Linked DNA regions of Struthio camelus. The protein of the gene in region 3 purifies or fractionates together with the protein of the main gene of each other region. This does not show direct contact. Links are inferred from orthologs where the notes say so. Each region holds a gene or a part of one and is shown on either strand. Other genes may lie near its edges.

Evidence for each region.
Region 1: the proteins of CDH2 (region 3) and CTNNA1 purify together in Homo sapiens (affinity purification with mass spectrometry; 4 studies listed by BioGRID and IntAct, with this or other methods). This does not show direct contact. The link is inferred for Struthio camelus from reciprocal best matches to the Homo sapiens genes CDH2 and CTNNA1.
Region 2: the proteins of CDH2 (region 3) and JUP purify together in Homo sapiens (co-immunoprecipitation; 4 studies listed by BioGRID and IntAct, with this or other methods). This does not show direct contact. The link is inferred for Struthio camelus from reciprocal best matches to the Homo sapiens genes CDH2 and JUP.
Region 4: the proteins of CDH2 (region 3) and CTNND1 purify together in Homo sapiens (affinity purification with western blotting; 6 studies listed by BioGRID and IntAct, with this or other methods). This does not show direct contact. The link is inferred for Struthio camelus from reciprocal best matches to the Homo sapiens genes CDH2 and CTNND1.

The regions. Positions count from the first base shown.
Region 1 is NC_090954.1:20,905,395-20,912,299, forward strand, and holds the start of CTNNA1 (catenin alpha-1), read left to right. Parts: upstream 1-3,904; 5' UTR 3,905-4,073; intron 4,074-6,905. UniProt on the Homo sapiens protein: Associates with the cytoplasmic domain of a variety of cadherins. The association of catenins to cadherins produces a complex which is linked to the actin filament network, and which seems to be of primary importance for cadherins cell-adhesion properties.
Region 2 is NC_090966.1:7,328,468-7,336,111, reverse strand, and holds the start of JUP (junction plakoglobin), read left to right. Parts: upstream 1-4,644; 5' UTR 4,645-4,702; intron 4,703-5,545; exon of another isoform or gene 5,546-6,343; intron 6,344-7,644. Other genes in the region: P3H4 (endoplasmic reticulum protein SC65), read left to right, coding at 1-109, 173-301, 402-547, 637-720, 814-955, 1,041-1,054. UniProt on the Homo sapiens protein: Common junctional plaque protein. The membrane-associated plaques are architectural elements in an important strategic position to influence the arrangement and function of both the cytoskeleton and the cells within the tissue.
Region 3 is NC_090943.1:123,141,270-123,148,981, forward strand, and holds the start of CDH2 (cadherin-2), read right to left. Parts: upstream 3,010-7,712; 5' UTR 2,390-3,009; coding exon 2,315-2,389; intron 1-2,314. UniProt on the Homo sapiens protein: Calcium-dependent cell adhesion protein; preferentially mediates homotypic cell-cell adhesion by dimerization with a CDH2 chain from another cell. Cadherins may thus contribute to the sorting of heterogeneous cell types.
Region 4 is NC_090946.1:7,454,287-7,461,206, forward strand, and holds the start of CTNND1 (catenin delta-1), read right to left. Parts: upstream 3,001-6,920; 5' UTR 2,867-3,000; intron 1,810-2,866; exon of another isoform or gene 1,432-1,809; intron 1-1,431. UniProt on the Homo sapiens protein: Key regulator of cell-cell adhesion that associates with and regulates the cell adhesion properties of both C-, E- and N-cadherins, being critical for their surface stability.

The DNA.
Region 1 (6,905 bases), on a different chromosome or scaffold from region 3:
CCCATTACCGTCTCTCACCACAGCAGTCCTATCTCAATAGTCCTTACTTCTGCTTCAACCCTGAGTCAGCCTCACAAATAACAAAACTAAAATGCCTCTATTAAAATATAAAAAGATCAAATATGCATTCCAAAACAAGGCAGGCATGCACGTATGCATGGCGTACCTATTTTATTTTCAGCATTGTTGTCCCAGAAATAGAAAATCCAATTCCTGCCAAAAGTACAGCATTTAGACCCGGTGTGTGCTGGGAAGAACAAAAAACATGGTCATGCCAGGTGCTATATGAACCAACCACCTCCTTGGCTGGCATATAAGTCTCCCCCAGGTTACAATAGCAAAAGGGCAACTTTTCTACAGCGACTACACCTGAACTAGTATCTTTAAGTGGCAATATCAGGGATTGCCCTTCCGCATACTGCTGACTAACACAGACATGCTGCCCAAGGTGTGCAATCACAAACCACTTTGTACCCTTACGGACTAGGCGCAGAGTTGCCGTCACAGAGCGAAGAATGAAAGCATTTGTTTGTTTTGTGTGCTTAACAACATACACGCAGCACCACTGTAACAGTCTCCCCTCATTGCTTGTCCTTTTCCCTGGTTTACGTTTGGTTTTCATCCAGCAAAAAGGGAAACTTTTTAAAACCAGGAAAATGGGATTACAAAACCACAGACACTGTTAAAAGGGAGATTCAGGGTCAGGTGGAAAACTTCTAATTCATTTCAAAAAAGGGACTGGTTTTCAGGTTGCCAGCACAGCCTGATGCTGTCTTAATGACAGTCACTGGATTGGAAGTGTTAGCTACTGTTCCGGGTGCCTGTCTAAACAACACCTTGCATTTCTGTCTCCTTGACAGAGCCTGCTACCGTGTTCCAGACAGAGCTGTTAATTAAGAGACAAAGTCCAATCTAAGCCTAGCCGACTCTGTTTTTACATAATTTTGTTTTTTATTTGCTGAGTCTTTTAACTTGATGATCCATGAACTGACGGAGCTGCCAGCTAATTTTCTACTTTTTGCTTCGCGTTTCAACAGTGCGGTACAGAAAGTGCGATTCTCCAGAACGCCAGGCCTTCTACCTTTGAGTTTGTAGTTTGAAAAGGGATTTTTTTTTTTTTAATCTGACATTTTGCCCTGAAAGGATGTGAGACGTGCAAAACTGCTGAATGTGGAAGCCACCACAGGAGGCCAAGGCATGATATTAAACGGAGTAATGAAAGAAAGCAAGCTATTGAAGTGTAAACTCAATTTTATTGAGAGTATGCTGCAGATCAGAAATGAGTAGTTTGAATCCCTGGTGCAACTGACACCAAAATATTAATGGTTTGGTACAAGCAGGAAATACAAAAATCTTTAAAAAAATCCATGTTTTCTCTGCACTTATAGAGAGGAGCATCTGTTTAAAAAGTCTGTTTGCTGAGACACTGAATACTCTATATTATTTTAATAACTTATATCTCAGCCAGCATCATAATTACAGACTTCACTTTCTTTCGATTAACTTCTCTCATAACAGGGCTGGACTCTTGATCCCTATTTTCTTTACGGATTGTAAAACAATGGCACTATGCTTATTTCTCTGGCTTGCTAACCTCTTGGATTAAACCGGTGGGGAGAACAAAATGCAATCTAAGATGCTGCAGGCCACAGTCCGTCTTCCCGCAGGACAGGCTTGTAGCGGCAGGGCAAAAATAGGAAGCATGGTCTTGCTGACTTTACGGAGCCAAGACCTGGAAGAAAATCATAGTCCTAAAGCATTGCATTCCTCCGCGATGGCACTAGCCTGATTGCACGGCCCCTGGAGAGCCAGCATGGGTTGCTTTGTCTACCTTAACTAGATTAGATAGCTCCAGTATATACTCTTTGCTAGGCTTTCCCAGTCTCTCTAGATTTTGACTAATATCAAAGGAAGGAGCAAGTAGATTCAGGCATCTTAGAAATGTTGGCAAATGAGTCACGAAACATATTGACTTTATTTGACTGGTTTTGCAATCCAGTACAAGCACAAGTTCTGTGGAGACCTTTGTATTAAAAGTAATCTCAAAGTGTACTACAAAAAAAACCCCCAAGTCGTTGGGTATAGAATGAAAGCGGCCAGTTCCTCACACAAGAGACTCAGTGACACTTTGAAAAAAGAAACCTTTGAAATAAATTACTGTGTAAAGACAACTTCCAGATCTACAGATTGACCTCAATTCGATTAATGTTAAGTTTCTAAAATCTCCTCCTTTTCTGATGGAGGCTCTGGCATTTGGATTCCAGGAGACATTTAAAATAGCATACATCCGTTTCTGAAATCTCCCACACTTGCATTATCACAGCTTGACAGCCCTTTTATGTCATGGATTTCCCCTATTGCTTTTCCTCTGTATGCTTGTTATTAGAGACATTTGCATGAAAACAAGACATTTTTTGAAAAGCGACAACTCTCAGAAATGTTAAGATACAACATTAGGTTTTCATAAGAAAACAGCAATTTATAAAACCCAAGAGGAACCGAGCTGTCATTTTTTCCCTTTTCCCAGCGAAGCTGATATCACGTATCCACCCGTTTCCAATAGATTTGCTACCTTGTATCTTGCGATAGCCCGGAAGACTAAAGGCTGTATCAGACTTTGGTTAGGGACCATCAGCGGGGTCCGTATGGCATGGTCTGTATCTCCATTTCTGATTTACACAAATCAGATGTCGAAAGATTAATTATAGCTCGTTAATATCCCAGTCAACGGACACGGCATGGATTTTGAACGTCTCTGCGATTTCCCGTCGTAAACCTGGGGGACTACGCAGTTCTTCTAAGTTTCACTGATGGCAGCTAGAAGATTTTTGATTCCTGGAAGTGTTTTGACCTAAAACGTTCATTTTACCTTAGAAGGAAGTTGACCAAAGGTGCCAGAAGTATGGGCCAGTGGGGGAGGAACACAAGAAGCAGCTGGGAAACCTGCCCTTTTGCCCTGTGCTGCTAGGAAAGGCTGTGGTTTCGAGCAAGTTCACGCTTCCGGCGTGCAGAAATCACAGCGAGCGCGAGGCGGGCTGGTTGTGCAACCACTGAAACCAAAAAAGCGGAAGACCGGTTTAAACCCCACGGCCTGGCCACTGAGAAACCGCAGCGATACCGCTGCAGGCCCGTAGCGGAGCCGGCAGGGCCGCAAACCGCGCGGCGCCCGGCGGGCAGCGCAGCGGGGGGAGGGCTGGGGGCGCCCTGCTTGGGGTCCCGGCAGCGCCCGAGGAGCGGGGTCGGGGCACGAGGACGGCTCCGTTCGGGGGGGGGCTGGCAGAGGCCTGAGGCGGGGACAGGCCGCCCGCAGCCCCCTCGGCCCCGGGCGCGGCCGTTGGGGCCCTCACATGCGGCCGTTGGGGCTCGCGCGTGGCTGTTGGGGCCCTCGCGCGCGGCTGTTGGGGCCCCTCGCACGCGGCCGTCGGGGCCCTCGCGCGCGGCCGTCGGGGCCCAGGCGTGGCCATTGGGCCCTCGCGTGTGGCCACTGGGGGCCGGGCGCGCAGCCGTTGGGGCCCTTGCACAGCCGTTAGGCCCCTCGCGCGCGGCCGTTGGGGCTTGGGCGCGGCCGTTGGGGCCCTCGCGGGCGGCCATTCGGGCACGGGCACGGCCGCTGGGGCTCGGGCGCAGCCGTTGGGGCCCTCGGGCACGGCCGCTGGGCCCCTTGCGCGGCCGCTGGGGTTCGGGCGCGGCCGTCGGGCCCCTTGCACGGCCGTTGGGGCTCGGGCGCAGCCGTTGGGCCCCTTGCACGGCCGTTGGGGCTCGGGCGCAGCCGTTGGGCCCCTCGCGCGGCCGGCGGGCCCCTCGCGCGCGCGCGCGGCCGCTGGGGCCGGCGCCCAGCGCCTCACCTGGCGGCGGGCGGTGCCGCCAAGGGCGGCAGGGGCGGCGCGCGGCAGCGGGCGGGCGGCGCCGGGAAGAGCCGGCCGGACCCGTGCGGGGCGGGGAGGCGGGAGGTGCCCGGAAGAGCCGATTTCCTCTCTCCGGCTCGGGACGGGAGCGGCGTCGAGCGAGACAAAGCGGCCGCGGCGGCTCCGGGCCCGGGATCCAGCGGCGGGTGCCCCCCTCCTCCCCTCCCGGTAACTTCGGCGGCGGCGCTGCCCGCTCCCCTGCCCTCCCCCCGCCCCGCTCCTCCGACTTGGGAAACTTTTCGCGGCGCCGCGGCCGGGCCTGGCCGCGCCGAGCCGGGCCGGGCCGGGCTGGGCTGGGCGAGCTCGGCCGGGGCCCAGGCCCGGCTCTGGCCCCCGCGACGGGCGGCCGGGAGGGGCCCCCGGGCGGCGGTGGGGGCTGGCGGCGGGGCCCGGCGCCCCGTGGCGGCCCCGTCCCGGCGCGGGCGGCGGCGGCGGCCCGGAGCGCGGAGCGGAGGGGAGGGAGCGCGGCCCGGCCCGGCCCTGCCCGCCTGGCTTCCGGGCGCCGCGGAGCGGAGCGGAGCGGGCCGCGCCGCCTCCCCGCCGGCGGCGGGGCGTGGGCCGGGGCTGCCTGCCGGGCCGCGGCGGGGCTCCGCGTGGCTGCGCCCGGGCGGTGCGGCCCTGCCCGGCACCGGGGCGGGGGCAGAGCCAGCTGCCGGGCGCGGCGGGGGCGGGAGGCTCCTGTGGGGAGAGCGGCCAGGCGGCGGGTGGCTTTTTTGGGCACGAGTAGATTAATGTTATCTTGCTGTTCAAAGAAGAGCTCTCTGCTTCCAGCAGCAGTACGGATCGGGCTGGAAGACTGTCAGCCGCAGTTACCGGACTGGTTCGGGTGGGAGCAGGGATTTTGCTTTAATAAAAAAAACGCACCAAAAAAAAACTTTCCACAGCTGCTGGGCACGGCTAGGTGAACCTGTCCGGTCCCTGCCATGGCAGCAGTCAGGTACAGGCATCTTCTACGTGGTTCCCCAGGCAACTATTTGCAGAGTTGAATCTTGCTGCTTGGCATGGGTTACCGAAAGCGTTGCTTGATTGCTTCAGTTTTGTGATGAGTTGATTTTTTTTTTGGTTGTTGGTTTTTTGGGGTTTGGTGCTGACAACACTGGTATGCTCTTCCTTCTCTGTTCTACCTGCAGATTTTTTTGTGATGCAGCTAAAACAAGCTTATGCAGTTCTCCCCCAAACTGGTGTTTGTGTTTGAATACGTAAAGTGCAACTTCTCTTCATCCCAGAACACCCCGTTTCCCTTAACTTAGCCATGTCACATTTTTTGATAGCCACCTATAATGCCATAAGACAAGTACCCTTTCTCTGCTGACCAGAAGTTTCATGCCACTTCTTACATCTAAACAATAGAGAGACTGCATCAATGCTTTCAGTCACTGTTTTATCCTCAACTCTCATCCCTGCAGCCTGTGGGCTACTGACTAATACATATTGGCCTGCTATTCTTGGTTAGTCCCTTTCACATTAGTTCAATGGGTGTGAAATATTTTAGGCTGAAAATACGTGGAGGACAAAAAAGTATGTTAGTCTCTTATATTTAGGCAAGAATTAGATGTGGTCGAAGCTTACTTCCCTGTTCCTCTCACGTTGGTCTGCCTGCCTTACCCGCAAGGCAGTGTGTATGTTATCGCTATGTCAGCGTGAGTGATCAATAATCCACTTGCCTCGTCTGAGTTATGCGCGTCCATTATTGTGTTCTCATTCCAGCATTCACAATTATGACTCAAGGCATGTTTATGGTTATTTCTATTGAAATAGTCTAGGATCTCCCTGCAGTCTTTTGTCGGTCCTGTTGTACTTCTTGTTTTGTTTTGTTTTTGGTTGTATTTTTTGTTTTGTTTTTAAACTGCATTGTGAGTAGGGAAGTGGGGGCGGTAGGAGAGGCTCTGCTAACTGTAGCTTTGATTCTAACCTACATCCTTAGTCATGCTGGCTAGATCAGACTTACAGCACTTTCAAACCCAGCTGAAGGTGCTAGTTTATTTTCAGCTCTTGGGCTAGTTTGTGGGGATGTTAGTCTGGGTTTCAATGTAGGTGAAAGGCTAAGCTTACTTTGCAGTATATGTGTGGTCTTTCAGGTACAAGGCAGATTGCCACGTATCTGTCTGGAGCACGCTAAGCTGTTTGGTTTGCCTTTGTGTGCTCAGGCAGCGTTAAGTGTTTAGAAGACTTGTTTCTCTCTTCCTGCTGAACTGAATCTTCTTGCTTGAAAGGGCATTATTTTAAGTTGAGTCATTTTCTGTTTTTTTCTTTAGTGGAAAACAGTTTTGAAAACATAAAGGAAATATCTTTGGCTCTTCTTAAGAGAAACAGATGAAAGTTCAGTTTTTGTTTTAGAAACACTTTGCTGTAATGTATTTGATAATAAACAAAATGCCGTCAGGTTTTTTTTTTTTGTCAGCTGGCTCTAATAATAGGTGTCTGCATCAGAGATTAAAGGTTTACCCACGGTGACAGGGAGGAGTACACTAGGTCAAGATTAGAAATACTGCACCCAAACTGATGACTTTAAATACCAAAGCAAATATTTACCTCTGATAAAATTTTCAAACTTTGTAAAGCATCAGCCTTTGAGATGGTGTTAAAACGTGTATAATGGCAAGTGTTAATATGCAGTTTATTCGTAGGACTTCCGTTAGTCAGATCAAGTTAACTGAAAGCTATAAAAGAAAAGTAATTTGTGTATTTCAGCTTCATAAATTTCTTCCTTCTGCAGCTGTAAGATCCAGAAACTGATCTTGCAAAAGAGTCCGCCTTAGTAGAGATATTTATGAGCTGAAAATAAGCTTTAGTAGAACTTTGGCCTGTGTGGAAGTTATACATACTGTTGCTCTATAATATCCTTTCTTATGAAAAGAATTAGTTAAACTCACAAAAATATTTAGCAGAGAACCCGATCTACTAAGCATAGATATTAAGGTTAGTCTAGAGCGAGGACATACATGGCTGAGATAGTCCGTTGAAGGACTTGCAGCTTCTGTTTTACTGGCATCTCTTGAC
Region 2 (7,644 bases), on a different chromosome or scaffold from region 3:
ATGGAGCAGGCGCTGGCCGAGTACTACAAGGCCTACGAGAACTGCCTGGCGGGCTGCGAGGGCTCCTACGAGCTGCAGGAGTTCAAGGACTTCTACCCGGCCATCGCAGGTGGGGCCGGGGGCCGGGGGGCGGCGGGGGCGGCGGGGCGCAGCGCCTGACCTCTCTCCCCAGACCACTTCGTGAGCGTGCTGCGGTGCAAGGTGGACTGCGAGGCCGAGCTCACCCCCAACGTGGGCGGCTACTTCGTGGAGAAGTTCGTGGCCACCATGTACCACTACCTGCAGTTCGCCTACTACAAGCGTGAGTGCCCCCCGGGGGGGAGCAGGGGGCCGCGGCCCCGCGGGCGGGTGGCGGTCCCGGCCCGCCGGCCGGCCCCCGTCCCACGCTCGCTGCCGCGCAGTGAACGACGTGAGGAACGCGGTGCAGAGCGTCTCCAGCTACATGCTCTTCGACCCCGGCGACGCGGTGATGCAGCAGAACCTGGTCTACTACCGCTTCCACCGCCAGCGCTGGCGCCTGCAGGAGGAGGACTTCCAGCCCCGGCCGGTGAGCGCCGCGGCGGGGTGCGGAGCCCCGGCGGGTCCGGCGGTGCCACGGGGCTCACGCCGCCCCTGCCCTTGCCTCCCCGTGCCCAGGAGGCCGTGCGCTACCACAACCAGACGGCCACGCAGAAGCAGATGCTGGACTTTGCCCAGCAGTACCTGCAAGCTGACGACGAGGTACGTCCCGTCTGCCCGAGCGCCCCGGAGCGGCGCCGCGGCGGGGAAGGGGGTCCGGCCCCGGCCCTCCCTCCTCCCGTCTCCCTGCTGCAGATGGAGGTGGACGGCGGCGAGGAGCCGGACGCCCGGGACCTGCCCTCGGACGGCGAGTTCGAAGGCGAAGGCGACTACGAGGAGGGCTTCGTGGCAGAGTGGTGGCAGGAGCCCAGGACCAAAGGGGACAAAGCCGACCAAGGTTGCTGGCGCCGGGGGGGGGCCGGGGCGCTGGGGGCGGCGCGGGCGGCCGCCGCGCTGCACCTAACGGCGATCCTTCCTTGCAGAGACCCTCCGATGAGCGAGGCCGAGGGGGCCCGCGGCCCCGGGGAGCCGGGCTTCGGGCTCCCGCGCGGAGACTCGGACGCGCCGGGAAGGGCTGATCCGGCGGCAGGGCCCCTGGCGGAGCCCCCCTTCCCGGCGCGGAGCACCGGCGCCTCCGAGCCACCTCCGCGCGCTGCCCCGACCCCGGAGCCGGGCTGCCGGCGGTGCCGGGATGCGCCACGGCCCCTCGCCTCCCCGAAGGAGCCGCTCCGAGCGGCCTCTCCCCGCTGGCGTTTCATCCCGGAGGAGCCGGAGGGGCGGGAGGCTGGGAAAGGGGCCGGGGCGCCCATGCCCCGCGTGTGCCTTGGATTTCCCCCCCGCCAGCCCGCCGTAGCCTGAAGCTCCGTTAATTTAATACTTCCCGTCTTCCACGGTTGCTTTTTTTATTTACTGGTGCTGAACTTTTAATAAAATCCGGACCGGTGTTTTCACGGCTGCCTCCGCTTCCCGTTGGCGCCGGAGCCGGGAGCTCGAGGCGGGAGAGGCTGGGGCGTTCAGGGAGGGAGGAGCATGTGTCACCCCGGGGGGTGCGTGCATGACCCTGGGGGTTATTTGGGGTGGGAGCGTGCATGCATCGCCCTGCGGCTGGCCCTGGGGGTGCATGCATGACCCTGGGGGTTATTTGGGGTGGGAGCGTGCATGCATCGCCCTGCGGCTGGCCCTGGGGGTGCGTGCATGACCCGGGGGGTTATTTGGGGTGGGAGCGTGCATGCATCGCCCTGCGGCTGGCCCTGGGGGTGCGTGCATGACCCGGGGGGTTATTTGGGGTGGGAGCGTGCATGCATCGCCCTGCGGCTGGCCCTGGGGGTGCGTGCATGACCCGGGGGGTTATTTGGGGTGGGAGCGTGCATGCATCGCCCTGCGGCTGGCCCTGGGGGTGCGTGCATGACCCGGGGGGTTATTTGGGGTGGGAGCGTGCATGCATCGCCCTGCGGCTGGCCCTGGGGGTGTGTGCATGACCCTGGGGGTTATTTGGGGTCGAGGGTCCCTAAGGGGCTGGAACCGACACAGTTGCCCAGCCCCGGGCTGGAAAAGCACCCGGTGCCAGTAACGCTCCGGGACCGGGGCCGGGGGGCTGCAGCCGGGAAGCGCCCCGGTCCCTGCTACGTCGCGGTGGCGCGTGTGCTGCCCTCCTCGCCGCCGTGCCGCCGGCAAGCCCGCGCCTGCCCTGGCCGGGGCGTCTGCGCGACGGCAGCGCGGTGCCGCGGCCCAGCCCGCGCCCCGGCCGCCGCGCTCCTCCCTGCTGAGCCCGGCGCATTTTTGCTCCCTTTGGAAGTTGGCTCCCAGGACTGAAACCAAGAGGCTGAATCATAGCGTGCGCCCTTGGGGTGGGACGGGGCGGCGGGAGGCTGCCCGCACCCCTCCCTGCTCGGCACGCCGGGATGCGGCTCCCGCTCAGCCGGGCCCTTCCCAGCTCCGGCGGGCAGAGCTAAGGGGAAACGCGGGCTGCAGCTGGGCAGCTCCCCGCCGGCCCTCCCGGGGCCAAGGCTCCCTTGGGCGGGTGACGGCGGGGACGAAGGCGGCGAGCCGAGCCCCCGCCGCGGGGCGACGCGCCGGCAGGGCAGGGGCGATGGTCGAGCCCGTCGTCCTGCCGCCGCTGCGCGGGTCGGGGACATCCCGGGAAAGCGGGGACATCCCGGGAAAGCCGGGATGCGCTGGGAGAAGTGGGACAGGCCAGGGAGCCTTCAGCTCGCGCCCTTTGCAGGGCCTGCGGGTCTGACCCGGGGCCGCGGACACGCGGCGAGCCGAGCCTGCCCGGGCGCAGCATCCGCACGGGGGTTTGGGGGGCTTTCAGCCTTTTTCTCCCCTTGCTGCCCCCGGGGCCGGGCGGAGGGGTTACCGCCGCCTGCCTGTCGCTCCTGGCCTTGGCCGGGAAGGGGCACACATGGATTTTTGTCACCTGACATCGCAGCCGGCCCCATGAAGACCCCAGACCCAGCTCTGTCCCCGGGGGGATCGCGGGGGGTCCCGGGTGCGGGGCCGGCCGGCGCCGCGGGAGCTTTGGGTCCCCGCTCCGCACGCGGAGACGAAATCTCCCCCCTCCGCATGCGGAGGCGTTGGAAGAGCCGGCGCTCGCTGCCAGCCAGGAAACGCATCCGAGCTGAGCGCGAGCCGTCTGCCGGGCGGCGGCGGCGGGGATTTCTCCGGGGCTATTCCAGGCCACCGGAGCCCGGCCGGCTCGGCCGCCCCGCGAAGCCCCTCCGCCCGGATTGAGCTGGGAGGGGGAAACGCGACCAGCAAGCGAAGGAGATGCAGGGGGAGCGTCCAGATGTGCGCGCCGGGGCGGGGGCGGCGCAGATGTGCACAGCTGGCGGCGGTGGGGGGGGGTTCCCGTTGGGACGCGGCGGGATGCGGGACGCCTCCTGCCCGCCCCGCGCGGGGGGGCGCTGAGGGTGAGGGCGGCTGCGCCCCGGGGCCGCGAGCGAGGTGGGACGCGCCGAAGACGGGGCCCGGCCGGACCAGTCCTGCCGGGACGGGGTGACGCAGGCGGCCGTCACCTCCCCGGCGCGCCTCAGGCCACCCTGGGGGCTGGTCCCCCAGCCAGCCTGCCTGCCTCGGTTTCCCCATCCGGGCTGCACGGGGACCCTTCCCCGAGCCGGGCGATGCTCCAGGCCCCCCGGCCGGACCCGGCCGCGCCGCCGGCTCTGGGCGGCTCGATGCAAACGCCATAAATAATGCACGAGGCAGCTGCAGCCCCGATGGATTTGGCGGCGCGCGGGGGGCTTCAGCGGCTGCGGGGCCGCAGAGGAAGCTTGGGAAGCGGGAGCTGCCCCCCTCGTGGGGCGGGGGTCCCTGCACCCCCCAGAGCTTATCAGGGGGTCCCTGCACCCCCTGCACCGCCCCCAAGGGTCCCCCCTGCCCCAAAGGGGTCCCTGCCTGCCCCCCGAGGGGGTCCCTGCACCCCATGCATGTCCCTCAGGGGGTCCATCCTTGCCCCAAAGGGGGTCTCTGCACCCCTAGTATGTGATCAGTGGGGTCCCTGCCTGCCCCCTGCCCCCAAGGGGTCCCTGCACCCCATGCACGTCCCCCAGGGGGTCCACCCCTGCCCCACACACCTGCCCCAAGGGGGGGCTCCTGCACCCCCTGTACATGATGGGCGGGGGTCCCTGCCTACCCCGGGGGTCCCTGCACCCCATGCATCTGCCCCGGGTTGGGGGGGGGTCCTTCCCCCCCCCCGCCCAGGTGGGGCTCAGGCCCCGCCCCTCCCCAGGCCCCGCCCCCTGCCCGTGGGAGAGTCCGGGCCCCGCCCCTTCACCCCCGGTCTGGCCTGGCCCCGCCCTCCCGCTGACGTCACGCAGGTGCGCTTCCCCCTCCCACCCGCCCCCGCGGGCTCGCCCAGCCCCGCCCTCTGCCGCGCCCCGCCCTCCCCGCCCAGCGCCGGGCCGCTGGCCAATCACCTACGGGCGAGGGGCGGGGCGGCCGCGTCGCCACCAATGGGGAGCCGATAAACACGTCCGGGCGGTGGCGGCGCCCGGCCCGCCGCGGGCGTGACGGGCGGGGGCGCGGGCCAATGGCGGGGCGCGGGGCGGGGACGGGGGCGGGGCGGCGCGGGGCGCTGCTCGCCTTTTGTTCGGGCAGGAGCGGGGCGGCCGCCAGTGTGCGCGCAGGGGCCGCGGCGGCGCAGGTGAGCGGCCGGGAGCGGGCGGCCGGGAGCGGCGGGGCGTGGGGGTGGGGGGGGGATCCGGCGTCCGGGGGGCCCCGGCGTCCGGGCTCGGACCGGGGCGGGGGGCCCCGGCGTCCGGGCTCGGAGAGGGTGGACCCCGGCGTCCGGGAGCGGCCGGGCTCGGACCGGGTGGGGAGGGGGGACCCCGGCGTCCGGGAGCGGCCGGGCTCGGACCGGGTGGGGAGGGGGGACCCCGGCGTCCGGGAGCGGCCGGGCTCGGACCGGGTGGGGAGGGGGGGCCCCGGCGTCCGGGAGCGGCCGGGCTCGGACCGGGTGGGGAGGGGGGGCCCCGGCGTCCGGGAGCGGCCGGGCTCGGACCGGGTGGGGAGGGGGGGCCCCGGCGTCCGGGAGCGGCCGGGCTCGGACCGGGTGGGGAGGGGGGGCCCCGGCGTCCGGGAGCGGCCGGGCTCGGACCGGGTGGGGAGGGGGGGCCCCGGCGTCCGGGCTCCGGCTGAAGCTGGGGTTGGGCTGGGAGGATCCCGGTGTCCGGCAGCGCCTCGCCCTAACCTGGGTTTGGGAGGATCCCGGCGTCCGGGGCTGGGAGTGGCCGGGCGGCAGCCGGGGGCCCCCCCGGGGGTCGGGGCAGAGGCTCCCGCTAGAGGCAGAGCTGAAGCGAAGCTGCCTTTTATATATACAAATACATATTATAAAATACTATATGTATAAAAGAGGGAATTGTCGCCCCCGAAGGGGGGTCGGTGACAAGCTGAAGCCCCCGAGGCGGGTGCGCTGCAGACCCGGTCCGACCGGTGCCCGCAGCGATCCCCCCCCCCGGGGCGCCCGGCCGGACTTTCCGGCTCCTTTACTCCAGGAGCGACTTTGCAAACTGCGGCCGCCGTCCTCGGCGTGGCCCCTCGGTCCGCCCGCGCCTCGCTCGGCTCCGGGGCGCTGGCGTGGAGCCGCGGCCGCGCGTGGGGTGCGCCCCGGGCTGGCGTGCTGCGAGTCACGCAGGCTTCGCCACCCCGCTGGGTGCTCGCCGTGGCGGGTGGTATTTGCAGAGCGCTTTCCCCGGGGAAGCTGGTGCACCTGCGAAGCACCGAGGTTCGCCGGCACCAAAGTTTGCGAGTGGGGCTGCCCGCTGGCAGAGAAAAGGAGTTTTTCCCCAGCCAAAACCCCTGCAAGGAGCTGACAGCAAGGATCTGTGCAGGGAAACTAGGAAGATGGAGAGGGGGTGAAACTGCTGTCATTTTTGCTTGGCATTTGGAGAGGAGCGAGGGCTCTAATTGCGTTAGCAAAGTGATTAGCTTAATTAATCAGGTTTACGGCGCAGATGAAAGGATAATGCTGAAACATTGCTGGGAGTTGCCTGGGGAGGAAAAAACGTAGGCTGGTGTACGAGGAACTTGGAGAGAGGCGTTGCTGCCGCGAGAGGAGCGCGTGAGCGCCAGCCCCGTGCCTGCAAGCAGGGAAGGGCCGCGATGGCTCGCACCGCCTGTCCTTGGCTGGTCCCCTGGGGCCCAGGGCGGCCGCAGCTGCGTCATCCCTGGTAGGACTTGATCGGGCTTTGCTGTCCACCTACTCCCTGGGGGTCGGAAACCCCTTGGGTGGACGTAGCTCGCAAGCGGGACGGGAAGCAAACCTCACGCAGTGCTGCTCCCCCAGGTAACGTTTGGCGTTGGTGTTTCGGAAGGAGGAAGGAGCTGGTGTTTTGGGTCTGCAGCTGGGGCTGTGCCTGGTGCATCCCTGGCTGGGACGTGGATGTGTGGCCAGGCTGGCCCATGCCCTGCTTCTTGGGAGGAGACGGGCAGAGATGGCGTTTGCTTGATGCGTCGTTCTCCGGTAATGGATCTGGAGAGGTCTAAAGGTCCCTTCCTGCGTCTTTTATTGATGTTTGTTGGAGTAAAAGTGCAGAATGCCCAATTAAACTGTCTTTGTGCAAGTGAAGCCTGTAATTGTTTGTTGCTCTGGAGGAGTTCCATGAAGTGTCATGAAAAACCCATTTTACAGCAGATTTGGCTTAAACGAGTTGGCCATTAGGACAGGAATGTAAAAAACTCTTGGCTTAAATGGTTGAGATGTGAAGGGGGGGGAAGGCAATTGGCTTGTGCGCTGTTCTCAGCTGCATTAGCACAAGTGATGGGGGGCCGTCTTCAGGACACCTGGGTCCTTCAAGCTGCCCCTGCTCCAGGAGTTTGAAAAGTGGCTGCTGGAAACCCCCTGCTCCGACCCGCCGGAGTCGGTGCAGCAGCGACGCGGCAGTCACTTTCGAACAATAGACTTTATGGTCTATTGTCTGGGCGCTGCTGTGCCGGGTGCGTCGCCGCCGGCTCCGGGGAGGCGCGTGCGTCCCTGGCGCGGTCCGGAGGAGCCGGCGCTCCGCTTCCGACTTCAAACATTGGCCTCGGTGGCGCTGGCAGCTCGCCGTTTGGTTGCAGCTGGAGACCTTGAAGAATTTCACCTCTGGTCCCAGCGCTGTATTTTAACCTTAATATTCAGCATTGTCCTAATCCCCATTAATTCTATCCTCTCCCCCCCCCCAAAATCCTTAATCAGATCTAGCAGCTGGAGTAGGCAACTGTTTTGCAGCTGGGAGGCTTTTTTCGGTGAAGGTTATTCCTGTGACGATGGCTTCCCTTCCTGGCTGTGGTTTGGGGTGGGAGCACTCGATGGTGTTTGGCTTTTTATCGTGCTCCCAGATCTCTGGGGTTTAAGGCAATGGTCCTGCCTGGCGCGCTGCTGCTCGCAGGTGGCAAAGCCTTCGGGAGCGACGCTGGCCGTGGCCCCGCTTCGCCTGCTTTTTGCACGGGGAGCAGAGGCTCTTTGCGGGGAGCTTGTGAGACTTTAATTGCAGTGTCTGTACCGTGACTTCACCAGTCTTGGAAATCTTAAATTAGGCTGGCTTCTAATTAGCAGCACTTAAAAAGAAATCCAATTTCTAGAAAAACAGCACAAGTTTGCCTTGG
Region 3 (7,712 bases):
TCTTGTGCTTTAACTTCAGACCTGCCGAGGAGAGTAAAAAGGATGGAATAAAAGCTTAAAACATAATTTGTGCTTTACAGATTTATTAAGAGATAGGAAAGCTAAACAGAACTGAAAGCACATAAAATAAACAGCACATAAGGACTTAAAAAAAAAAAAAAAAACCTGCAGGTATAGGTCTGCCAAGACCAATATTTAAGGAAAAAAAAAAAGGGGGGGGGGCAAGGCCACCCAAAAATCAGCCAGCACAAACAAAACAATCTTTAAAGTGGCATATCAGAAGTTTCTGAACAGGGTGGCTGGTTTCACACGGAGAAGACAGTCGTGCCCAGCCGCACACCTCCCCGCTACGGCGGACGGCCCTATGTCCTCTTAAGACGGAAGAGAAAATCCCCAGCTGCTGCGGATAAATGTTTCAGCACCTTGCTCGCCTGGTGCGAGTCATGAGTCCGGCAAGTGGCTTAGAAACCGTGTAGGAGGAATCAGATGTCTGGGGACCTCGTGAAAGAAAGCGCGCGGGGCGGCGGGGGGGGGGGGAGGGGGGAATGTCCAGAAAAAGAAGGTAAGGAGGGGGGGGAAAAAAAAAACTAAAAACAAGAAAAAAAAAGCAGAGAAGGGGAAGAGCGAGTTCCTGCCGTCCCCTTGTCAGCGGTGAAAAGCCAGGCGCGAAGGCGGGGAAGGAGGGGGCAGCCCGGCTCTGCACCATGGACAGTGACTGCCGCTCACCGCCTCCCCCGGCCTCCGCGGCCGGCGGGAGAGGCCGCCGCCGCCGGGGCACCGGCCCCGCCGCGCCCTCAGCCCGCTCCCCCGGCCCGCCAGAAATGCCCCATCCGCAAATACCATTAAGAGGCGATGATCTGCGCCATCTGTCCCTCAGATTTACCGCCCTCTCCGCCCCCTGCACCGCGCCGGATACCAGCTCCGCAAGCACAAAGCGAGGGGGAGCGGGGGCACCAGCCGCCGGCCCCCTCCCCAACCGCCGCCGGGGACCCTCCCCCCGCCGGCAGCCCCGCGCCCCCGCGACCGTTGGGCAGGCAGCGCCGCGTCCCCTCAGCCCAGGGCGCCCAGCCCGCCCGGCTCCCCCCGAGCACCCTCCTGCCCCGCTCCGAGGGACACCCCGGCACACTGAGGATCCATTTCATCTACATTTCCCCCACCCCCCCGCCACCTCCCACCCCTCCGAGGGAGGCTGGCGCGAAGCCCCCCCCCCCCCCCGTTCCCTCCACGGAAAACCGTTCGCCCCCCTTCCCCGGGGCCTCCCCACACATCATGGAGGCGGGGGGGAGGGGGATGCTCGCTGCTCCCCCACAGCCTGCCCGGGACCTCGCAGCTCCTCCTGGTACGCGAGGAGCCCGCCTGGGCCGCCCCCGGCCAGCGCCCCCCCCCACCCCCCCGCCCGCGAGGTGACAAGACTTTCGATATAAATTAAGTACTTCGGGAGCCCGGGCCTGTCCCAGTGGAAATTCCCGTAAAGGCGGCGGGGGGTGGGGAAGCCCGGCGTCCAGGCGGAGGAGGAGGAGGCGGCGGCGGCGGCTGCTGATTAAATTCTTCCCGGGAAGGGATTAGCGGGCACGGGAGCCGGCGGGGGCTCCCCGCGCCCTGCTCCCCGCAGCCCAGCCGCGCTGCAGCCTCCCCCCTGGGCAGGGCTGTTGCCCCAGCCGCCCGAGGAGAGGCGGGGGGGGGGGGGGGGGGGAATAAGTGGGGTTTGTGCACTTGCACCTACGGCCCCCGGTCCCCGCTTCCCGGCTCGGGGCCGAGAGGGGTTAGGTCCGCTCCTCCCTGTTCCCCGGTACTTCACTCCCCCCCCACCCGCGACACTCAGCGTGGTGCCGAGACGCTACCTCCTCCCCGCCAAAATACACACCGGACCCCCCCCCCCCGGCCACCTGCTTTCCCAAATGGGGGGGGGGGGGAAGTGTGTTTCCCCTTCCCCTCGGCAGAGGCACAGCCACCTACACCCCACCAGCTCTCATGCCGCCTCCCCCCGGCCCCAAGACCCCCCCCCCGGCAGCCCGAGGCTCCGGCTCCCCTTCGCCTGCTCGGCCGAGGCTTCGTGCCCGGCGGCAGAGCCGCCGCGAGCAGGTGGCCCCGTGGCGGCAGACGGGGACCCCCGGCTGCGGGGCAGCAGCTGCCGCCACCCCCCTCCCCCACCCCCGCCGCCCCGGCTCCCGAAACGCGCCGGCCGGCCGCGGAGCCCCCCCCCCGCCCCCCAAAACCTCATCCCATCCCGCCGCCTTCCGCGGGCACCGCCGCCCGCAGGGGAACAAAGAGACGCAGCCCGGCGCGGCTCCCCGCAGCCGCCGGCGGCGCTTACCTGCTGCAGGGCCGCCAGCAGCACCAGCGCCAGCGGCGGCAGGATCCGCGGCGGCGCTCCCGCTATCCGGCACATGGAGGCGAGGAGGGGCGGCGGCGGCGGCAGGGCGGCCCCCGGCAGTCCCGGAGCGCGGCTGGAGCCCGGGGAGCCGGGCACGGCGAGCGGCGGCGGCGGGGGGGCACCGGCAGCTGCGGCGGCTGCGGACGGTGTCTCGCCGCTGCCTGCCGGAGCCGGCTGCCGCGGCACTGGCTGCTTGCGGCTGCTGCTTTAGCTCATGGGCAGCGATGCAGCGGGGGAAGAGAGAGAGACAGAAAGAGAGAGAGAGAGAGAGAGAGAGAGGCGGAGGATGGGTGAAACTCAGCGCTGGGTCAGGCTGCTTTTCTCTCTCTCCTGAGCCCCCTCCGCGGTGCAGAGGGTGGGCAGGGAGGAGGAGGAGGAGGATGAGCGAACAAAAGGCTGGGAGATAAGAAAGAAGTAGTCGCTGCTGCTGCGGCTGGTGCGGCGGCTCGGCGGCTGCCTTCCCCACGCCCGGATCGTTTCCACCTCTCTCCGCCGCCGCCGGGCCCCCGGCGAGCTGCGGGCGGGCGGGCGGCTCTGGTCGGCGCGTAACCCCGGGCGTGCCGCCCCGGCCCTGCTGCGCACTCGCCTTGCACTTTCTCTCTCCCTCTTTCTTCTCCTCCCTCCACCCCTCCCCCCTCCCCGCACGCCAAACCCTCCGCTGGAGCACAATGACAACAATACCCGAGCAGCCTCCGCCGCCCTGTGCGCGCCGCGTGTGTGTGTGTGTGTGTGTGTGCGCGCCCGCCCGGTGCCTGCCTGCCCGCCTGCCTGCCGGCTGCTGCCAGCTCGCCTCCGCCTGCCGGCTCTCCCTGCCGGCCGCACGGCCAGTGGGAACGGCACGGCTCGGCCAGCGGCGGGGATCGCTGCTGCCTGCAAATCGCGCTGCCCCTGGTCGGTGCCGCGGGGCAGCCGCTGTTCAGCGTGCGGCGGGGGCCACGAGTGCTAACGCCCTCCAGCGACAACGCCCTCTCCCCCCCACCCAAAACAATACAAAAAAACCCCACCACGCCAGCCTGGTTAACTTGGTTTGCTGCAATTGCTTGTAGGGCGAGGTGGAAAGAGCGATGGGGGAACTTGCTGGGGAGGGGGAAAGGTGCCGGGCCCGTGGTGCTCCTCAGCGGGAGGGGACAAAAATGCAGGGAGAAACGCCGGGAGGCGTCGGGGGTGCCCTGCTCGGCGGCGACAGCGAGGGGCCACCTGCACCGCAAGTTTCGGTCAGCTCTTAGTGCTTCGCGCACTGCTTTTTTTTTCTTTCTTTCTTTCTTTCTTTCTTTTTTTTTTTTTACCCGTTCCTCCCTCCCGGTCTCGCTACGTTGTTTCCAAACTACCTGCTTAATTTATCAGCAAATATTTTCAAAGGTTTGGCCGGGGCTGCAGTCCGCGGGTCCAAAAAATGTCAGCGTGCATAACGGAAATTGGGAGTGTTGCTGAGCGAACAGTTACAGAAGCAAGTATCAGTGCTGGGTCATTTGCAGAGCTGGCAAAGATTTTCCCTCGCCCACAGGTCACTGAGCAAAGTTGTTTTGTGTCCATGCATCAGAGCTCCCATCCTGGGACATAATAAGGGGAGGATTTGTAGGCATTGGCCCCTAGACAATCTCATACAGCGTTGATCCAAAGTGGTGCATTATTTATTTTAAAAGCATCTTATTTTACACTTGAACTTGCAAGAAAAATACTCTCAGGCTCTGTTGGTTTTTTTTTTCCCCTGCTTTCGAAAATAACGCAAAACGCCATGCTCATATTTTGAAAGAAAACAGCAGATTTGCTCCTACGTTTTGTTGGGAAAGGAGGGGTGAGTGCATACTTGTGCGATGCTGATCTCATTAGCTTCGAAAATTGAAAATACCGGTCATTTGCGAGCTGCGATGCAGCTGTTTAGCCAAGTCAGGGAGAAAAGGCAAGTAAAGGAGGAGGAAGCTGGGCTCCCTCGTAGCGCAGTCCTGCACGCCGCGGCCAGGCAGAGCGGGCAGCGGCCCGCCCGGCCCGCCCCGGCTCGTGGGCAGCAGGACCGACGGGCGGCAGCGCTTTCTGCGCTTCCGTGGCGAGTGTATGCGTTTTTTTGTGCAGCGGCTTTTTTTTTTTTCTTTTTCCTTTTTGAGGGAAACTCAGCACCTGGCTAAGCTCCTTCCGAAATACCTCCTGGATGGGTCGTTTTGGAGGTGGAGAAGGGAGGAATCACCTGAAAGCGTTACAAGCAAATGAGACTCAGCCAAGGAGAACCAGCCTCAACTAGAAAAACACCCCCTCCTCCCCCGCCCCAAACTGTATCGAAGCCAACAGTTGTGAAGAACAATAAATGAGCGAAACTAAGTCTGGTAATGAGTTTCTGGATTAAAATTCAGCCCAGGACTGAGAGAAAGTAAACTACAACGGCACTGCTGATGTTTATATCCTATTACAAGGATGAGTTTCCTGAGTGTGCACCTGACAGAGCATGTGTTCCATCTATTTAGCGATTCTAATGTTTTACCCCAAGCTTTTGCTTAGATTTGCTTATGAAATATTGACTTTCCCTGACTAACAGATTTCATTTGTATTTTCTGGTAGGTGAGCATGATATTAACATTTATTAATTACTGTATTTAAGCATTTATTTAAACTTACAAGCATTCTACAAAATGCAAAGCATATAATATAAAGAACTCCATAAACCAACTCTTCAATGAGAGTCATTACTCATCATCTGATTAAGCCTGGCCCCTCATATTCCTCAACCTGTCCATCCCTAATGGCCTGGGGAAAAAAAAAAAAAAAAAAAAAAAAAGCTCTGCAGCATGTCTGGAAGGTTACCAGATCTGAGCTCTGGCTGATGCTGCTTACAGTTCTGCTGCTGCCACCATTAAATTACTTAGGAGAAGTAGGAGCACTGACAGAAAAATTGCTTTCACTGACACCGTTTTTACTGAATCTTTTAGCCTTGTATGAGGTTCTGCCAAGCAGTTGGCTTCCCTCATTTACGCAGCTGTAACCAAAATCGTCCTCTGGCTTACGGCATTTCTTTCTTCTGAATGCTGTGATCAAGAGCAGCTAATAGACCAGGGATGGGTTATACCTTTGAGGCAAAATCTCCAAACTGAATTGTTTTATAGGTGAGAGGCATATAATTGTGAGAAGTGGGCAGAGAGAACAGAGTGAAGTGGGCAAGAGAGAACTTGTGACTTGTTCACAGACATGGATGACTCCTCAGGGCTTCCACTGTTCCTTTACAGTGGAGGCCCAAAAGTGCAGCTTGTTCCAGAAATAGTCTAGCAATAGTGGACATAGATGGAAATTCAGAATTAGAACTAATACTAGATTAAGATCCTCTGCCCTTTTCACATACGTCATGCACAAGACAGCAAATGATAGTAATTTCTGGCCAAGATTCAAACAAGTGAGTTAGAATTTAAAGGGTTTATGCTATAACCCAAGCACAGACTGCATTTATGAGTGTGTTTAAAGTAGTATAAAAATAATGGATGTAAGTTAACGTTCAGTGTAGGAGATCTCAAGGGCTTCCAGAAAAACCTTGTTAAAATTCCATGATTAAGTTGAAGAGAGGATTAGGATAATTCCCATGTTAGTCATGGAGTTGAGTCTCTCTTTCAACTTGTCCAAATTAATTTTCATTCCTAGGGTTCATAAAAATTCTGTAAAAATATGAATGTTTTCGATTTGGAACATACTAGATTGCTTATGTCATCAATTTTTTTTTTTTTTAAAAACACCTTTTCCCTTGCGAGTCTATCCTTACATTTAATCTGCCAGGTACTGCCACAACTACTTTCCTCGATTCAAATTATGCCAATTAAACATTCTGCTAACAGTTTAGGCCTTGAGCTGACAAACATTTATACTTGTGATCTCAGCAAATTCAGTGATGCTTACACACAGGCATACAACTACTCATATGCCTAAGTGTTTACAACATGGAGGCCATATTCTATTATTTAGAGTTAATAGCAGAAGGATAAACATATTGAGCAAAGGTACTGAGGGCATGTTAATTTTCCTAGGTTTCTTATTTTCCTCATTACTTATGAGGAAATATTTATATTTGATTAAAAAAATAGTTTCCTCATTCTCCGCAATCTATTTTTTTTCTGAGTGCATTCAATTCTTACTGAGTTTTATCACAAGAGTGGAAAAATAGTGGTTATTTTTTAGCGGTTATTAATTATGGTAAGACAAGAGAAAGCTGCACAACATCATGGGCTAACTAAGATTCTTTGGGCTGTTAGAAGAGTAAGAAACACTAACAAAAACAAAAATTCAACTTCTTAGGACAGTGGCTTTCAGCTTGGCTCTGTGGACCCCTTGAGCCCCCATACTGATTCTGAATAGTTTGTGACAGGCAACACGGAAAAGCTATTTATATAGTCTATACAGCAACTTCACACATGTAAAATTCCTAAGGGGGGAGTTTTTTCTGAATTGAGAGATTGTTAGTGGTTGGCAACACTTGAAATGATTGTTTTAGGAAGCAGATAATCATGTATGGTCAGAGAGACTGCAGTTTTATATAGATAGTGTCAAATGGGAAAAAAAAAATGAAATGACACAGGTGCCAGTATACAAAACAGCTTAAATATTTAAAAATTGAGATAGTAAAAACGTCTTTTCATTACTTCAGTAAAATAAATATGACCCTTTTAATTATCCAATTTGAGTGTTCTTTTCTAAATATACTGTTCACATTGATCACTTATATGAACTGAAAAAATACAGCTCCTAATTGTCCTTTTATAGAGGGAAATTGTCTCAGGAAAAAAAAAATACAGTCTTAGGAGTAGGTAATCCTTATCTGACCAAATCTTCTAGTTTATTACCTAACTTAACTAGTTTATCTGCATGCGCTTTTCTGGCGCTGTCCTTTTTGTATCTGTTTACCTAACATGCATAGACCTACATGTTTCTCCAGACTGTTTTCTTACATCTCCATAACACAAAGACAATGCACGACATGGAAGGGTAGCTGAAGCTGCAGCATTTGGTAGGATGTTCTGCTTGGATCTGAAAATCGGCTAGATTAGGATGAAAGAATGTTGTATACAGCATTTTTATTTCCGCCTTTGCAACTCTCGCCAACAGAAATCTCTTAATTGCTATATGTAGTGATTCGGTGGAAGGGGACAGTTGTTCTTTGTGATAACTACATCATGTCTGTCACTATAGTTATGTTTCTGTTAATTGCTAGTACGTGTTGCAAAAGACTTCCCTAGGGAGAAGCTAAGAGTATGTAATCCAGACATAATACAACATACTTATGTACAGCATAGTTTGCTTTATATATATACACTATGTATGTTAATTTGGGAATCAGTGTGGTCAAGCTCAGCACATGTAATTCATTCCT
Region 4 (6,920 bases), on a different chromosome or scaffold from region 3:
GTCCCCAGTACACTAGTTCTGAAAGAACAAGTTTCCTCCAAACAGCCTCTTAGGCCTGTACAAGAACAAAAGCTGAAGAGGAGGTTGTGGCCACCTTGGGAAACTCCAGGACTTTGGTCTAAAGCCTGCAAAGCCAGTCCCTTTCCAACAGCCTCGTGTTGAGACACATTCTTGCACTGTGTGCCAGAGGACGGTTTCCTCCACCAGCCAAGCCCTGTGTCGCACACAGAGCTCTGAAGCTGCCTGAATCACCCAACAGGTTTGGTTTTGTCACCTCATCCAGGCAACACCTGCTGCCTTTTATGGACCCAAACCAGCCTGGTGCTTCCGCCCCTCACTGTCAACAAGGCAGAAATAAGGAAAAACAACAATAGAGCAGGGATTAAGGGGTTTTTTTAGGCCAGGATAAAAGCTCTGCATATCCCTCAAGACAGTATCACCACAATCTTGAGTAAGGGCTCTGCGCTTGCCAGTAGTAAAAGGCCAGACAGTTATGATGGGTTGCTGGGAAGAGAAACCAAGAGATTTAACTAGGACTCTTCCCTAAGGCTACAGGCACCGGTAAACTATTTTGAGGACTCAGCCTTCCAGGCATGATCCAAGCTATGCTACGCTTCGCTGGGCGTCCTAAACCACCCCAATACAAACACAATGGATCGAGGTTTTATCTCCGTGTCAGAAGTTGAAGGAGGGAGAGAAAACAAGGGACGCTTGATTGCAGGCTGGGCTGAAGCATCTGCCTCGGACTCTTAGTCCGTCTTTAGGGAAGGGAGGATCTCGAGGGCTACCGAACCACAAAGATCTGGGCCTGACCTCAGAGTCAGACGGGAGGAGGCTCGCCCCTCCGCAGCAGCCCAGCGGAGCCCAGCAAAGCCGTCCAGCACGCTCCACTAAACAAGCCACTTTCATCCTCCCACCCCTTCCCGGAAGGCTCCTTGCAAAATTCCAACAACTGCTGCACATCGCGAAGGACAGTCATTTGCATGCAACCGAGTCCCAGCCAAGTTCAATCAAGTGTAAAAAAAACACACTCCTTAAGTGCATGAGTAAACAGTCAGAAACAAGTAAGAGAACCTGCCTCAAGTGCCGAGAGCAGGATGGTACAGACAAGGTAACTGGGGAAGCCGAAAACATCCCCCGTTAGGGCTCTTGCTGACATAGCTTTCCACAGCTCTCCTGCTGCACCAGGGAACCCTGCCTCCAGCCGAAAGCTGGGGCCACAGCAGGCCCCGGGGAGCCGTGACGCACAGAAGCATGCACTGCGGGCAGCAGGAGACAGGAGCGAGCCACCACCAAACACTGCGACTGTCCCCAGCTGCTCTCTCCTATCTCCCCACATCCAGAGCAGCGCCCCGGAGAAAAAGAGCAAGACACTGAAACAGAAACCTCAGACTCGAGCAGTAAACACCGGGTATGCGATTCCCACGGTACCTGGGTCCTGGTGGTGCTGAGCTTCAGTATTTCGCTCCCTGCCAAGCTGAGGACAAGCCTGTTTTCAACTCCACATCAAGTGCAGGGCAGCCAAGTAACACCACAGGCAGGACAACAGGTAAGAGACCAAGCAGCAGACGGCTGTACTTCACATACCACCACAACGAGCCACGTGCCTAGATGGTCTCAGATGTGCCCAGACTCTGCCCTCTCGCTTCCCAGCGGCCGGGCAGAAGAGCTCTGTGCAAGGCTGGGTGCCACAGCCCCAAGACAAGGGTGTCCAACTCTGCCGCGAGCACGCCACAGACTCTTTCCCAGGGGAAAGGATAATCCCGGCCCTCCAAAAAAAAAGCCCTGCTCACCCCGCCGTCTCAGGAGTCCCTGCTTTGTCACAGGCTTCGTGCAAGAGCTTGGGCACGGAGCCCTTCCCGGGGAGGGAGGCACCTCCAGGAGATCCACCCCTCTCGCTAACAATCAGAGGAAGCTTTGTTGTCCGGGCTCCCTCACTCAAAGCCCAGGGGCATAGCGGAGATGCCCAGCATCCCTTCTGCAAGGGAGGCAAGCGTGCCTGTGCCTCTCTCTCTCACCGCTGTCCGAGGGCCACCCAAACTTGATTGCGTTTACCCCAAGATAAGCCTCTCCTCCGCAACACTCCCAGAGCCCTCACGTTGCAAGAGAAAGGCAGTATCAGAGAAGGTTATCGACTCCTAGCACAAAAGGCAGCGGACGGTGGGGAGGGAGGAAGCAGATCTCTTGCTAAGTGACAGGGCGGCCAACGGGAGCTGAAGAAAAACAGCCTGCTGAGCCCGGGGCTCCGGGGAACTGACCGTGGCAGGGCTGTTCCCCACCTGGAAGCGTTTCGGTGTCACCTGCCAGCCAGGCGGACACGTCTGGTTTTTAAGATCAGAGCTGTTCTATTCAGGGGACCCGCTGCGGGAGAAGAGGGTGTGTGGGGGGGGGGGGTTGTGCTCCACCCCACATACTTGACCCTCCCTAGGCACAGAAGTCCCCTTCCCCGCGAGAACAAAGGCGCAGACAACCGAGATAGCGGCAGACAGGCGAGCAAGGCAGATAAGAGAGTTTCCAGCTCGCCAGGGCGCTCCCCCACCCCCCTGCCCCGCCGGCCCCGAGCCCTCCCACGCAGCTGCCAACGGCGCGGCGCAGCCCCGCCGCCCCCCGCCCACGAACGGGCCGGCGCGGCCCCCTCGCTGCCCGCACGGAGCGGGGCGGCGGCAGCCCCGGGGCGCTGGCACACGCGCGCCCTTTGTCTGCGGGCCGGGCAGCGGCGACACGCGCGACGCTCAGCCCCGCGGGGCCTTTGTGCCCCTCCCTGCCGCCCCCGGCGGCAGCCGGCCCCGCGGCGGCTGCTCCTTCCCCCCACCCCACCCCCGGCGCTGCCGGCCCCGCTCGCCCCGGCGGCGGCGGCGGGACTTACCGTGGCCGGTCCTCGGAGGAGGGTTGGGGGGGGGGGGGGAAGGAAGGGGCGGCGCGCTCCGCGGGGTCCCGCCGCGGCGGAGGCGGCGAGGAGACACGGGAGCGGCGGCAGGACCGGGCGGCGGCCCGGGTGCCCCGCCGGGCCGGGGGGAGCGGAGCCGGGAGCGGGCCGGGGCCGGCAGGGAGGGAGGGAGGGGGCAGCGGGGCCGGGCCGCGCCGTGCGCCCCGCGCCGCTCCCGCACCTAAAATGGAAGTTGCTCCGGCGGGGCGGGGCGGGGCGGGGCCGCGGGGCGGGGCCGCCCCCGCGCACGTCAGCGCGCCGCGAGCCAATGGCCGCCGCCCCCGGCGCCGCCCGGCCCGCCAATGGCCGCCGCCATTGTAAGGGGGTCCCGCCGCGGCGGGGTGGTAACAACGGGGAGGGGGGCGGGGGCTGCCTCAAGAGGGGGGATCCTGCCCCCAAGGAGGGGGGATCCTGCCCCCAAGGAGGGGGGGATCCAGCCCCCAAGGAGGGGGAAACCTGCCCCCAAGGAGGGGGGATCCTGCCCCCAAGGAGGGGGGGATCCAGCCCCCAAGGAGGGGGAAACCTGCCCCCAAGGAGGGGGGGATCCTGCCCCCAAGGGGGGGGGATCCTGCCCCCAAGGAGGGGGGGGATCCAGCCCCCAAGGAGGGGGGGATCCTGCCCCCAAGGAGGGGGGGATATCTGCCCCCAAGGAGGGGGGGATATCTGCCCCAAGGGGGGGGGGATCCTGCCCCCAAGGAGGGGGGAACCTGCCCCCAAGGAGGGGGGGATCCAGCCCCCAAGGAGGGGGGGATCCAGCCCCCAAGGAGGGGGGAACCTGCCCCCAAGGAGGGGGGAACCTGCCCCCAAGGAGGGGGAGGATCCTGCTCCCAAGGAGGGGGAGGATCCTGCTCCCAAGGAGGGGGGATATCTGCTCCCAAGGAGGGGGGAACCTGTCCCCAAGGAGGGGGGGATATCTGCCCCAAGGGGGGGGGATCCTGCTCCCAAGCAGGGGGATCCCTGCCCCCAAGGAGGGGGGGGGATCTTGCCCTAGGGGCTGTCTTTGCTCCTGGGGGGTGGATCTGCCCCCAGGAGGGTAGTTGCCCTTGGTAGGTTATCTGCCCCCAGGGGGGATCCTGCCCCCAGGACGGGACGTGCGCCAGGGGCGAAGAACTGCCCGGCGGAGGAGCTCTGTCCCTGGGAGGAAGAGCTGCCCCCAGGGCAGGGGGTCCGCCCCCGGGCACAGCAAGCTGCTCCCCGGGCTGGGGCTCTGCCCCCCGGCAGGAGCGGCAGGGCGAGGAGGTCTCTGGGCAAAGCCCTTCCCCACCTCGGCAGCTCCTTCGGGCAGAGCGGCAGCGGATCCCCCTCCCGGCCTGGCACGCGCCCACGGGCCCTGCGCGACGGCCCCGGGCCCTGCGGCGGGGAAGGAGCGTACGCGGCACCCGTGGGGCTCAGCCCTCCCCGGGCTGGGGGTGGAGGAAGAAACGCGACAGTAGTCGGGGGGGAACTCCCTGGACGTGGGGCGACGGAGAAGGGCGGCGAACCCGCCGTGGGAGGCGATACCCTTGCCCCCTCCGCGGAAAGCCCGCAAACGCTCGCGCGTGTGAAGCACCACCGCTACCCCTGCGGGCCGCCTCCGAAGCCCAGGGGATCATCGCAGGCCGAGCCTGTCTCCCATCCTGCCGCCGGACCCCCGTGCGCCCCCCCAGGCCCTGCTGCCCCTCCGGATTTGCGTGCGGCGGCGCCCTGCCCCATCGGCTTGCGCTCTGGCAGCCTGTGCGTCATGCTTGGCTCAGGAACGCTTCCAGGGGCTGCTCTTCCCATTAAAGTTTTCAGTTGTTTCTTACTCCATCCCAGCTCCTTTTGCCTCCCCCGCCAGCCGCTGCCTCCGTCCTGACAAAACTGAGAGTTTGAGAGCGATCCCGATAAGGCAAGATGTGGCTAGCAAGGGACTGACGCAGCCCGCGCCGGTAACGGGGGCTGCCTCGCCTGCGTGCGACCCCCTGAGACCGCGGGTGGAGGAACGCAGCCTGGGCGGCCGGGGCTAAACACCTCATCTAGACGTGGGTGACCTGAAGGCCCAGCACCAGCAGGCGCGTCCCCGGTAAGGGGAGCAGGGGCGGATTTCAGAAAGCCCCTTGCGTGGCCAAGGCCGTGTGGGCCGCCGAAGGACTGCAAACACAGGGAATGGCTGTTACGAGTCCCATCAAAGCAAAGATGAGATAAGCCATTGGGAAGGGGTCTAGTGGGGAAGGCGCGGGGTCTTCGCGCGCCGCTAAAGCAATCGCGCCTTTCACAGTAGACTTGGAAAGAATCAAACGCAAACAACAACCCAGCTAAATTAATCCTGCTTTGCCCCCTCTTCCAAGGTACTAAATCAAACAGTGTTGCAATCGCTGCTGGGTCACAGAAATAATACAAGGGGATCTGGGTAGATACAGAGAGCCGGGGCCGGAAGTAGCAACAGGAGATTTAATAATTACAGCTAACGCAGCTGGAGAAATACAATTCCGAAATGCCGTACTCCACAAAAGAGAGTTACTCAGCTTGGCAAGGAAGTGGCGCCACTTCCCAGGGCCCAGGCTCCGCCGCTGACACTATATGGGAGCTGATTCAGAGTCGAGGGTGTACTGATAGCTCAAATGGGAGACCGGCAGCCTCTTCTTTGCTGTAAGCACTCTCGCACGCGCACCTTTGTGCTCTTCCAGTAACGGAGATTTTCCCCTTTTTTAACAAAGGTCTGGAAGCGATGCAGAGCCTGCCTGTTTCCAGGTTAAGCGTCACTCACCTGAGAGAAGTCCTGATCCAGATCCCCCGAAGGTGACATTCATCCACCTTGTCTCTGGTTCTGGGCTGGCTGGATTCAGTGACTGGGGAGAATCCTGTCGGGTCCTGAGTGCCAAATTACTAGTAAGATAACGGCAGGAGGAAAAGAGTCGATTAAAGTCTTGGGTGGGGATGGGTGATTCTAGGAGTAAATATGCATAGCCTGGTTAAGCAAGGAGGAGGTGGGGGAGATGCGATAGCAGCCTGCAAATGTTTGAAGAAGGTAATCCCCCAGCCAGGGGTGGAGGTTGCCGAGGGTGCTGCAAAAAGGCCTAAGGAGGAGAAATGGGATTAAGTTAACGTGAAGGACACATTTAGAGAGATTATCAGGGCGGGCGGGGGACTCCCAAACCCTCCCTGACGTTACATCAATAAAACATTCTTCAACGTGCTGGCTGGAAAGAGAGCAGGGGCGGGGGGGGTTCAGGGATGGCGGGACCTCTGCCTCTCACAGACAGCAGGAGGTTTCTCTGTCCCACGGCACAGGCGAACTGAGACCTTCTTCCTGCGCCCCTTTCGTCCTCACCCCTGCCTGATCCTCGTCTCCCAAAATCGGGAAGACACGGCCCCCCTCAGCCCTGTGGCTTGAGTGAGAACTGCTCCTGGATCACGGCTAATCCCTCGCTGCCCTCCTCTTTTCCACGCGAGCCACTCGACGCGCTGGAAGAAGGCACTTTTGTGAGTTGGCTGGACTTGGCCAGGGAGTTCAAAGATACAACGGGAGGTACAACAGGCTCGCGGTGGGGCGCACGCGGGAGCCTGGCACGATCACACAAACCTTGTGCCTTCAGGAAGCCAGGCTTAAAAAGCCAGCCATGAAACCTACAGCATCGTTATGGTGGGAGTCACCAGATGGAGCTGTTCCACGTCAGCTCACAAATTATTTCAATCCACAGGTGGATTTCGAGCGTTGCCTCCAGTGCCCTTCTTTCACCCCATCGCTGTCCCAATTTGCCCAGGCTGCGTGACAGGGAGAGCTGGTCTCCTGACACGTCTCTGCCCCTCAGGGGAGCGGGTGGCCAAGAGCAGGGTGCTCAAACCGTGCTAGGCTTTGCCCCGGAGAAAAAGCATGAGGCACACACGCCGCGCGCCCCGACACGCGACAGGGGAGAGCGCGCGGCAGACGGCTGCCCCTGACACGGACGACAGGTAAGCGGCCACCAGCGCACAAAGCCTGGGGCGTCCTTCTGGCGTGCCTGATACACGGCTGCGTTGCTGCTGTTGCAATCAG